2 linked regions of the Drosophila melanogaster genome follow. The protein of the gene in region 2 interacts with the protein of the main gene of each other region in a pairwise test. Each region holds a gene or a part of one and is shown on either strand. Other genes may lie near its edges.

Region 1 (6,992 bases), 9.2 Mb from region 2:
TTCTACAGTCCGTATATAGCTTATTTACAAAGTTGGATTTGAAAAAGGCATACAGATAAGCGCAAAGTTTTTAACAAATGTACAACAAATTATTTACTCAGGGGAACTGGTAAATTGAGTTTCGATTTGTTGGTAATTGAGAGTTAAGGTTAGTAAGTTTGCACTACCAAAAAGAAAAGTTCTGAATTTGAATTCCAATTGAAGAAACTTTTAAAATTAGTAAATCCTAAAACGCTTTTGATTAAGAGTAATGGCCAATCAGTGATGATATTAGTGGAAAGTTTTTTAGGATATAATAACTCTTAAATGCCATTGTTTTTATGATTCCACTTTATTAGATCCGTAACTATATGGCCCACAGTCAACACCTCGTTTCCTTTGGCATTTTCCCACCACAAGACAAATTGCCAAACCTTATAGAGGAGATACATTCGTATTTGCCCCCATAAAGCATAGAGATACATATGTAAATAGTTTTACCGCCGCTTTGAATCATTAAAAATCTTTACGACTCCGTATTAAAGTCAGACAAAAAACGGGAAAAATACGAGAGGGAAGAGAGAAATACGAACAGTAAAGAAAACATTAATGCCTTGCCAATAAATTTGTCTCCCCAGCAGAAACTCGTAAAGATTTCCTACTCAAGCCCATAAAGCAGTCTCAAAAAAAAAAGTTTGTGAGCCTCAGAAGTTAAAGTACTGCCGACCTGCGTGGATTTCCAGCTAAACGACAAATAACTTGGCATTTAATAACTCTGCATTCGGAGGGCATTTCGACTTACCCCCCCCAAACTTCTTTGCCCCACCCCCACCTATCTGACTTCATTATAATGCAGCAAAAGTCCCGACTTTATTCCTGTTTCCATAATTTAATACTGGCGCGCTTTGTCGCAAACCGAATTTATGTGTTGAAACTAAAGCTGAGATTGTGGCCTTTGGACCGAAAAGGTGTGTGTGGATTGCATTAAATTGGTGCGTGAGAAGAAAAGAATCAACGAAATATTTGGATTAAAAACGATTCTAAAGCATCTATATATTCAAATCCCTACCCTGTAGCCCAAAATACAATATTTTCAATGTTAAGTTTACAAGTTCAAGCTACATGCATAGTTCAGTGATAATTTATTTGCCACGAACCAACTTTATGGATGTATTTTCCTAGGCACACGCTACACACACCCCCTACTATCGAATATCCCTGCTGTTTAGATCATCATTTAAACATCAAATTTAATAATCAGCCTGTCATGTTTATAATTGTGACTCTTGGGGGAAGGGATGGGAGTATGGCAGCCTGGTCCACTCGGCTCCTCGATGGGCAATCATGGCAAAAGCCACCGAAATGGAGAAGCAGAAACATTTCTCAGAAGGCAAAACATGACACATCTCATTATGAGGACTCCCAAAAGAACTCAACCGCAGAATCCCTCGCCTTCTCGCAGTTCGTGTGCTGCTGTCAGAGCATTTTGTTTATGATTTTGTAGCTGTCATAAAGTTATTAAAAGTATGTGACATTTTTATGACATTATGACGTCTTGACTCAAGGTTTCTCCTCTTTTGCCAACCGAAAAATCTGTTTTGGGATTTTTCGGAGGAGCGGAGCCGGCAAATAAGAGGATACCGGCTTTTGTTTTCAACGCTCCAGAGTTCTGCGAGTGGGACCAAACCGATTTGATCCGTCCGGCTGTCTTGAAATATGATATCAAATAAAAAGCAAATTAAAGACGATAAAAATCGTGTCTCGGCTCACGCTGAGTTATATATATAAAAAAAAAGCGCTTATTTTTTGCGCCTCTTGCAAATGCGGTGCGAGGTACACCACAAATCCGAAATCCCTTCGAAATCAAGTATCGTTTAAGTTTCGCTTTGGTTCTGGTTTTGGTTTTGGTTTCGTTTTCGGTTGCCTGTTGTTCATCTTGTTATTTGGTGGCTCATAAAACTTGTAAACATCCGACTGATTGTGCCCCTGTCTGGTTTTTTCCTTTATTTTCTGGTTATACGTTTTCGGTTTTTGTGAGTTCGTGTGGGTGCTGGCCCTCGGTTCGAATTGGTAAGATATTTCCAGATGATATTACACTTTTGATTGGCCTCGGTAATGGGGCACTGAGGGCGTGAGAGATCAAAGAGCGATAAGCGATTTAATTGCCCATATGTCCAAACTTATTGCCTTCGAAGAAGACCAACAAAAGCTATAATGAAAGGTTTAGATATGCCCAATGGAAGATGGTTAAAGGAATGGGCCTAAAGTTGAATAAACAAAAGATATGGCAGAGGTGAATGGTCCGAAGATGCGTACCGTAAGTTTTAAATAAAATCCTCTTTAAAGTTACTAAATAACGTTTAATTGTTTGGTGCACAAATCCACACAGTCAAGTATTTGATTTAACAAATAATAACTCCTAGTTGCCTTAGATATACCATACAATTCCAATGAGTGGCAGACTCAACGAGGATTTCGCTTGGAGTTGCGTAGATCATAGCGTCGGCTTTTTGGCGGTTCAGGAGGGTTCCTGTACTGCAAATTTTTGTAAACATAATCCTCGTCATCCTCGTCGAAGTAATCCTCTTCCTCGTCGTCGTCGTCATCATCCAGGTCATCGTATTGCGAATCCTGCACCTTGGTTTCGGTCGTTTCTTCTATGACTTGCTCCTCGAAATCAGTTCCTTCTTCAAGAGTATAGGAGATATTTTCGTCACTAGGCTTTAACTTAACGTTCTTTGGGTTTCTAGACTTAAAACCTTCATACACTTCGTCTGGCTTGAAATCTTCGCATTCGCTGGAACTGGAATGTACGGGTTTAGCTTGGCGTTTCGTGGGTTTGGCTTTGGTTTTGGCTCTTGGTTTGGGCTTTGCTTTAAACCTGGTGCTGGTCTGTGGAAGTTCCTCCTCTTCGTTAAGATTAGAACCGCCGCACAATTCCTGCATAGCCTGCTCCAAGTCCGAGTCCTCCACTACCTTGCGACCTGTAGATTTCATCTTCGCCGCCGCTGAGGTGGATGGCATGAAGTCCAAGTCGAGGTCCGATGAAATCGGTGGCAGGGCATCGTCTTCATCATCCGAGTAATTCATGCCGATTGGCAGATTCTGCTGGAAACCAATGGACTTATTGGTGGCATCCATAACTATTTCCTTGTAGCCGGTGATTTTGCTACCATAGCGCGGCAGATATTCGGAGAAGAACTCGTTGACTTTGAATAGCTCGACCTGGCCATAATAACCGGCATAATCGGGAGCTTGGCCAATTCCGATATTAATCACAGATTCGTGCGGCTTTACGAATTTCTCAAAGGAAACTTTACTGGGCGCTAAGTCTACGGGGGCGTTATTGATAGACGAACGCCCCCTCTTCACATTCAGTTGCGTCATAATGTTCTTGTTGAACATATCGTGATTGTTGCGATCCTTAAGGACACCCAGATCGGCTTGATATCCTAGCAGAGTTTGGAAATGACATCGAGCCACTTGCAGAGCAGAACGGGATGTGTAGGGAGTGGAGCAGAGATCTCCTCGCCGTACCATCCTGGAAATATGGGCATAGTTCGGGAGGTGCAGAGGTGGTCGTCGCGGCTCCGCCGTTCCCGGGCTTGAAATTTCAGGTATTTTCTCACATTCCTGAGCCAGTTTATGCAATTTGAGTAACTGACCCTTAACGAAATTTGGATTCCGATAGATCAGCGTGATGTTGGTGGCTGAGGATTTACGCACATCCTTCAATGAAACGCGTTCGAATCCGTGGGCCAATAGAGTGCCCGTAAATTGCAATGTATTTCGACAATGAAACATGGAACACCCGCTGGACAAATGCTCCTGCATACCCTGGTAATCGACCTCCAGTTCGCGGCCATTTGCCGACCACTTGAGGTAGTGAATGGAGCTATTATCGGTGGCCAGGAACAGTTTCACGACGAATGCATAATGGAGTAGAGGATGGCTTTTTGGCGTTTCCGGGATATGGATACCCAATTGTCGGTAAATCCGCCTGTGATTCTCCGCTGCCTTCTTATTGATGTCGGAAACAGGTTTAACTGCCAGATCGAGGGGCTCCTTCTGCAAAGGATTTCTTTCGAAATCTTCCAGCGGATCCTCGGAGTCCACAAAATCCAGAAACTCGGGGCTATCCGCTGGCGTCCTGGACTCCTGCTGTTCCAACTCATTTGTCCAACTTGTTGCTGCGTCTTCTTCATATTCATCACCACTTTCATTGACCTGCTGTGACTGGCCCAAAGTGTCTTGGTTCCCCGACATTATCCTTTTGTATTTACAAACTTCGATGACTTTTTAGTTCTCAAACAAATATTCGGGCAAACGAGCAAGCCGGAAAAATATGAGGACTGACAAACGAAATGTTGGCCCACTTTAAGGGTTGCCCTGCTGTTGTTTTCCATTCGGAAAAAGTGTTGCTAAGTTTTTCTGTTATCCTTTACAGTTTCTATCGATGATTTTTAAGAAAACACACTCTCATCGGTGTACTTTAAGCAGTCACACTTAATGTTCAAAACTTCTTTTTTTTACATGTTAAATAAGCCTTGCATTCCACTATTATTATTCTGCTGCCAAAAATTCTTATTGATAAATTAAAGTTACACAATTTAGCTTTAGTGAAAGAGTAGACAGGCGAAAACCAAACAAAGCTCCTTTCATTTTATTTGAATGCACTTCATGTTTTGTTTGCAATAAATCTATTGTTATTTATAACCCCAAAACCCCCAGTTTTAACCCTCCCATTTGTTTCCAAGGGCGGCAAAGTTCAAAAAGGAAAGTAAGGGAAGCCTTTCAATTGGGGATTCATGGGCTATATCAACAATAATGCAGACCAAAGCCGAGACAACAAAAAGCCGCCAACACTGGCACTCAACTGGTCTATAACCAGTCAATGAGAAAGAGAGGGTGACACTGTGCCGAAAGAGATAGCTTTAAATTGACATTCATATGAATATTTAATACACATCCTTTAATCACGAATCATCCATGGCGAACACCCCCCCAATTATTCTGACTGATGCACGATATTTGGATGAACAAACTGCTGAGTTTTTGGCACAGGCGAAAAAAATCGGACTGACAAGAATTTTATGCAATAATCTCACGTGTCACCAGGAGTAAATTAAAAAAATGTCGTCAGCTGCTTGAATCTATTGAATATTATAATACCCTGCTCTTTATAGCTTCTTTAGTTATTGGTAAATTACTGATGTGAATAGTTCGTCTAGTGAATATAATTATGCATTTCATTGCTCAATTTCTTTGGCGAATATTTCCGCCAATTTTATTGTTCTTTTATTACACTAGTTGTAATGTTTACAGTCCGAATTTGATGACAAAGTTGTAATTTCCGAGCGAAAATCATAGGGCAGCCCATGAAAAGCTGCATAACAAGAACAACGGCTGTATATGACGAATAAATTTACAAGTCCAGTTGGAAAAAAATAGTATACCAGCACGCACGTGATTTTGACAATGAAACCCCTTTCAATTTTTTCATTGCTTCCTATTTTTTGTTGCTCTTTCTTTTGGCGGAACGAAAAAGTTTCTTTTGTTGTACATTTTTTACGATCTGATTTAGTCGTGTGACGGAAGCCCTATATGAATTCATAAAAAGCACTACATAAGTTTCGGTTTCAGTTTAATTTTACGGGTAGAGAGCTAGAGGTCTTTATTTACTCCTTATCTGGGGACAACTATTGTTCAACTATATATGGAGATCTCCCATCTCGTTCGTCTAAAAAATATTTTATAAAATGTTGAAAACGTTATAAAACATAAAAGTAGGAATGCCGCCGCCGTAGTGTTGTTTTGTTTTTGTTTAATGCGTGTCAAGTGGTCGTAGATTATGCATTTTTATGGTTTATGGGGCGCTACTCCATCGGTTTTCCTTTTAGACTATTGTTTTCCAAGCAATTAAAGATGAAGACGACTGAGCACGACCTTCTAGCCCCGAATTTTTCCAGCTGTTTTCCGCCCTTTCGCTATCTGAATTGCATTTTTACGATCCCGATTCCAGTTTCGATTATATTTCCTTATTCTAGAGTGAGTCACTGCAGCAAGTGATACGCTCTATAAGATTCTCGTGGTTTAGTGACTCATGTGAAGACAATGGAGCTCCAATCCATCAATCATTTCACTTGCCAGAAGGCAAACCTTGGGGTCTCATTGAACTTATTTCTCTCTGCTCTTCGCTTTCTTCGCCTTGAGGTTAAGCTAATTAAAATAAATGAATATATTTCATAATTTTACGAACTGCATATTAAGGGCCAAAGTTTGGTGGACTTTGACAATTAGCGGCTAAAATATCACTTTGCCATATAGCATGCAGAAAAATCATTTTTCAAAACACAATGCATATTAATGATCGTATCGTTTTCTTGAGAAATGCCACAATTAAACATATTGAAAGAGTTTACAATTTAGTTCATTAAGCAAGGGATTTCTTGGAATATGGGATTTTGAAATGTGCAGGCAATGCTCATAAAATCTTATACTCTTAAAAATTGTATATATTTATTATATTAATAAATTTAAATTGTATATAATTTCCTAGAACACAACCAGTTCGAATGCAAATGTATTTTCACAATGTATCTGACGACCTTATCTACAATCTCGCACCCATGTAGACTGTGACTAATTGAATGCCCATTTCTCCCGCTTTTGCTTTTGCTCTAAAAAATCCATTCCCGTTAAGACTGGAAGGCAATTCCCGGTTTTGGTAATTTGATATTTTCGATGTCCACAAATTTTTCACTAAATATGTTTAAACTCATTTCCCCTTTTGGTATCGCTTTCACCCCTCGTATCTGTAGATACTTATTCCATTCCCTTTTTGTTCTTTGTCTTCTGGTTGCACTGTTTTGTCTAATGAAGCGTTTAAACTCCTGTTCGTTGATGATAATTAACACAACTCCATTTCTGAAGAGTACTGTAAAAAAGGGGATCTCATTAACCCTTGACATTTGTCACACGAACGCGGGGGAATTTCGTTTTGCTTTTTTGAC
Region 2 (5,901 bases):
GCGCTGTCCTGCGAAAGGGTGCAAGATAAGTATCTATTATAAATATTCATACTATATGTCGGCGGCGAGCACAGACGACATTAAACCGTGTCCGACAAGTCCGGCGATCCCATACCCAGTCCACATCCGGAATGGAATGTCTACTGGCTGGCTACATTGAAGGAGCCGAAGCCTTTCCCCAATTCCACTTTCCATGTCATCGGATCCCCAGGCATAGCTCTCCATTCATGGGCCTAAGCTATTTCTCATCTGTATCAAACTTGACAGCAAAAAGAGGCCTTTCATTCGCTTGGGAGGCCACCCAGTTCCTGGGGCTGAGAAAAAAGTAATCAGATTGCTGGCGTATAATAGCGTAACTCTGCCCATATCCTATTGTTACTACTTTTATTCAGAAACTCTTTTTTGAACTGAAAAGCAGATTGGAGATCTCTCTCTCTATGAAAGTGACACACTAAGAAGGCTTGAGGGCATTTCTGAAGGACATATATCCTGGTATTTATTATATCTTATGTATATATTTTCCATAAGCCATTCCATTCTTTATGTTATATAGCTTGATTTTACATCGAATTCTAATTATTGGAATTGGTAATCGGTTTAAACATTTATTTTGGTTTTATATGTCTATTACTGTACCTAAAACCAAGAAGGACGGCAAATTAATCACGTTTGTTATGTATTTATGCCATTTCCAAGTCCGTACTTTTACTAGATTCCCTTCTGCAAGTATAATGTGTTTTTTTTTTAACTTAAACAACTCGCTTTTCTACTAAATGATATGTTATATACATATGTATATCAAAGTGTAGCTGCAATCAATAGCATAAAAATTTCTCGTTGGTTCAATCAAACTTTACTTTTCCTTTGATGACCAATTATAGTGTAGTTTAGGCCGATAGTTCGGTAATTCCAGAGCACCGCTGTGCTAAATACATTTGAGTATCAAAAAATATGTTTTTAGCCGAAAATGGGCTGCTACTTTCACCCGTCTCGTTTGGTTTATCGATGCACAACAATCGCGGCAATCGCCGTTGAAGCAATGAAATTAGCGAACCGCAAACAAGACTTCAAATTACCCGCATTCATCCCGAATCAGATATTCGCACCAGGCTGTCAGATTTCTGCTGAGACGGGGAGTTGGGAAGGCGGGAGGTCGGTGCTAAAAAGTATATATGTATACAAGGTATGGATCGTATGGATCGTATCGATTGCCATCGACAGCCGTTCACAATGGATCAGCCAGTAAATCAGGCGAGAAAGGAAGGAAAGCCAGCGACTCGAGGCGAGGGGCACTTCAATGAGTAAGAAAGAAAGAGCAATTGCATTGGGGCAGACATCCGCATCTCCAACTCCAATTCCAACTGCATGTCCACACAAATGTATCTGTATCTCCGCATGGCACACTTCCAACTGTGGCGCATAATTAAATCGCAGCATAAATAAACATAAACACACATAAAGCTGTGATAAATTGGCCAGCGACGCAGCGGAAATGTGCGTTAATCCAATTAAATGGGCCATTTGCATGGCTGAATGCTGCGAGAATGTTGTTCATTAAAATTGCCAATATTTGGCATCAAATCCGAACCAAAGCGGTGCAGCTGCACTTTGGCAAAGGACCCATACCGATTTCAGGGGTCAATTCCGGATTTGGGACAATGTCCTGCCGCCAACTAATCGTCTAGTCTAGTCTGGGTTACTGTCTCTGTTTCTCTTTCTGGCCAACTTGTTTGTTTTGGGCCACTATTTTACTACTTTGCTTCTTTGTTTTGTTTGGGTTCTTTGGCCCCAGGCGGCTATCTTGTCACAGTGGTAACTGCGTCTTTTAAAGAGCACTGAGCAAAATAACTATAGACACTATAATAAAGACTGCTCTATTGTAAAATTGTTACCAATAATTGAGAAAACACTCAAGAACTCAATTTCGACCTTAAGAACATGCGAAAATGATGCAAAAGAAATAACTTTTTTTTTTGTAAATATATATAGATATAGAAGTCAGCACAACTTTGGAATGTTTTTTTTGTTTTGCATCATGTTAACATCCATTAGGCAGCGATTTGAACAAATCAAAGTCAGCAGCAGACATACTTCCAACCATTCCCCCCCCTGCGAGTGGCACGTGCCGCATGGATGATAACACGGGCTAACACAGGCCGAATCCTTGCAAATAAACTGCAGCGTAATGGGGCCCATTGTGCGGTGCAAACACTGTTTACACAGACGCCAGCCACCCTGGGGAAAACGCTTCTGGAGAGTCCTGGGGGTGGGGCGAACAGCGACCCCTTCAAAAGTTTAACTTGTTCAATTTGCATGAGTCGCGGACCCGGCTATAAACGATACTTTGCCCAAAAACTTTGGCCATAAAGCAGCTACAAAAGCAGACGGAATACACGGCTGGACAGGGGGAATAATGAGCACGCGTCCCTTTGTCACCATCAGGACATACATATACTCCATGTCCATGTCCTTCGGCTGCTAAGCCGCCACCGAAGCAAGCGGACACGTGCGACAAGGACAATGGAGGTAGTGAGTACAAAGAGGGGGCTTTAGGGGTTCAAGGACATTAAGATTTAAATATTATTGTTATGAAATGTATTAGTAAGTTCTTGAATCTTCTATCTTCCTCATATCATCATATTATTATTATTATTAATATCAATATATCAATTATTCACAATTATAATACTAAAAATCCCCTTTTAAATAATTTTGATCATACACCCCTGTAAAGAAAGTTGCTTGGGCTGAAGAGGTGATTCCTTTCTGGGGGATGGAAAACGCCTGCGATCGATTGTTTACAAGAAGCCGAGTCCTTTGAAAAACGCTTTCTAATGGCCGGTATTCAGTTCTTGCAGGGCTTCCCACATTGACCTTGGCTGCAGCCCTGGCAACTCCTGGAAATTTGCACATTACGTATTCCTTTTTTGAAGGTGGCAACCCTCCTGCGGTGACAATTAATTTTGTACAGCTCATTAGGCGTTGGAAAAACTTTCGCCAAGGGTGGATTTATATTCGGGATTTTAAACCTGTCATTCCAGCAAAAAGTGGTGTACGGAAGCTAATTTCTTGGGTCCCTTCTGTTTTGATATATTCTATTAGCAAGGTGGTAAGCTCAATTAGGCGATTTCACGCTGGCACAGCATTTCTTCAACAAACAACAAGGAAGCCTATTGAAAAGTTAATAATTTAGCGAAAATATGAAAAAAGTTACGAAGTCCATTAAGCGGGAAGGAAGTCCCAGCGATGAGGAGTACACTTTGGAGGAGGACCCAATCGAATTCGAGTTGGAAAAGATGGAAAGGGGCAGTTCTAATGGGGAAAGCGAAGAGGAAAGTCAGCGGGATCAAAAGCAAGCGGACTCCATCATCGACGATATGGTCGAGCAAAACGACCAGGAACAGGAGGCAGCCGGTGAACAGGATGTGGAAAGGGAGAACGACCTGCGCAAGATGTATGGTAAGTGGTTTCCCGAGGTGATAAATTCATATATATACAAACAAAACTTTCTCCAGAACTAAGTCTACTCCCGCCGGCGGCCATAGCTGCCCAGATCCAGCAAATGGAGAAGGAGATCTACGAGCTGAGTCAATGGGAAGCCAGGGAGCTCATCCGGAGCAAACACCTGCGCATCTTTGGCAACTGCCGTCGTCGCGCCAACAAGTGAAGAAGTGACAAATCTGCTTACAGAACACTGTATACTGTACTGTTGATGACTTTGATGGTATCAAATAAAGGGTCGTCAACGAAAGTGACTCCAACTCCATTCCGTTTCCCCGTCCAGTGGCAAAGCCACACATAGCTCCACATGGCCCAAGTGGCCAGATGGGCGAGTGTCGTGGGCAAAGTCCCATGAAAGCCGCTTACAGGGCTTAATTTCTGAAAATGGACATGCCATCGACATTCGCCCACGACATCGGCTCCATCTGAAGTCAAGTACAGTGGGACTTCTGTAGCTTGAACTTAAAAACCAAACATATTGCTAGGAGATAGAATAATATATCTACCAAATACTACACATTTTAATATTTTTATAAGTTTCAAATACACATCTGCATATCTGGATGTATTTGTAGATGTATATCAATTCAGTGTCTTCCTTTTGTCGAAGCTCGACTGTTGTTACTAGGAAATGCACATCGCATATGGAGGTGGAAGCAGTGCGTCTGGGATTGGGCATTAATCGTGCATTAGAGTCTAGAGTTCAGATGGCCGGAGCTGCGGCATCCGTTCCGACGGGCTTCCTGTGCGCTTAGTGGCCTCCATCGCATTCGCCAATCCTCCTGCCGTTGAGGTGGAGCTCCCGGTTCGGCGGGGGCTTTTGTGGAGTAACTCGATTCAAAGCAAATAGTAGCCAGTTTATCACATGGATTTGTGCTAATTTTTCCATTTCCTCGCTCGCTCGCCTGGGGAGTTGTGAACCCGATCCGCATTGAAGTTGGCTCTCGAGTTTCCAGGGTTCTTAAGTTGATTAAATTTCACGCGATTTGATTCGATTTTCAATTATACGAGTACCGAGTACCGAAACACCGAGTGCCTCAAATCCATTATGCTAAGCAAATACATCTAACGTGTTTTCAGTTTCAACTGCGTGTCAGTTATCAATGCCCAAAAAAAAAAAGAAAAATGGAAAGGGAAAGCCATGGAAATCAGGGGGAGTTGGGCAAAGCTTTTTGATGCCCGTCCAAGCGACTTCCTGGCATATCCTTTCAAATGTCTGCCTGTCCGTCGGTTGATGATGGTGATGCAGTCGGAGCACTCCTGCCCCCCAAAAATATCAGTTGTTGTTTTTGTCGCTTTCGGTGGTTGCGGGTGCAAATGTTTATCAGCTTCAAAGGGATTCCCCGTCCGTCAGTTTGGGCGATTTGGGGTTTGTCACAACACGGCATTACCCAGACTCCGGCGAAAGGAGACATTTGAATGCAACATGTGTCCAGGATTCGGGCTTTGTTAATTTCCAACCCCGAGAACTTAAGGGTGGAACACCAACTCGACTAATAGAATATGCTCATTATGGGATTCCGAGCTGAGTGGGTTTCAGTGTTTCGCGCATAACTCAAACTAAATTATTATAAATGAATTCATAATCTTGTGCACATTATGATGACTTCAGGGGCCAAAAGGGGGATGATTCAAGTGCTCGTTTCTCCCCCAAAAAATGTCAAATATTCAAATATAAGCGAAAGGATTCGCCATTTATTGGATTGCTCAGCACTGATTGAATTTACTGCGCAGTTGGCGAGGAGGTGGAGAATTCGTTACTCTTCTCTAAAAGCCATAAATTGTTTCGGGATCTAAAAGCCATTCATTCAAATGATTTCAATATGCAAAAAAAAGGCTAGTTCCGTTTGTATCCATATTTTCGAATTTAATCCCTTTAGCATTGAGTAAAAATTACACATTTTTATAGTTCTTTTTTTTTTTGTGCTCAACGAAAAAGGCATTTATAATTAAATTTCAAAGGAAATTCTGATGAATTGATATTGTATTTTATATGTGCTTACATTCAGACACATTTCTATAGTTGAACGATTTCATTGATTTGCGTGTCTGTTATTGAATTAAATTTTCCGAACAGAATATACTATTTAAGTGTAGAGTAAATGTATATAAATTTAAATAAAATTGGGCAGTTAACAAACTGACATTACGAATTATTTTAATCAAATAAAGTTGGCATAAAATCAATTGAATAGCAATTATCCCCACACTAATGAGTTGATTTGAAAACTTTCTGGTTCTTTCTTTCACTACAAGTGGGTTTCAGAGTTTTTTTTTAACTTAATGAACTTTCAGCCCATACCTTTATATCATACATATAGTTATGTGAAAGACACCTGTCTTTTCCACCAGGATGGAAATCTCCGCTGGGCAGGTTAAAAAACTCATTAGGAAAATCCT

Evidence for each region.
Region 1: the proteins of wuc (region 2) and comr interact in a two-hybrid assay, tested with the Drosophila melanogaster proteins (one study listed by BioGRID).

Annotation. Positions count from the first base shown.
Region 1 is NT_033778.4:21,862,549-21,869,540, forward strand, and holds comr (cookie monster), read right to left. Parts: upstream 4,312-6,992; 5' UTR 4,246-4,311; coding exon 2,443-4,245; 3' UTR 2,322-2,442; downstream 1-2,321.
Region 2 is NT_033778.4:12,697,104-12,703,004, forward strand, and holds wuc (Wake-up-call), read left to right. Parts: upstream 1-2,977; 5' UTR 2,978-3,109; exon of another isoform or gene 3,110-3,193; 5' UTR 3,194-3,200; coding exon 3,201-3,459; intron 3,460-3,515; coding exon 3,516-3,667; 3' UTR 3,668-3,748; downstream 3,749-5,901.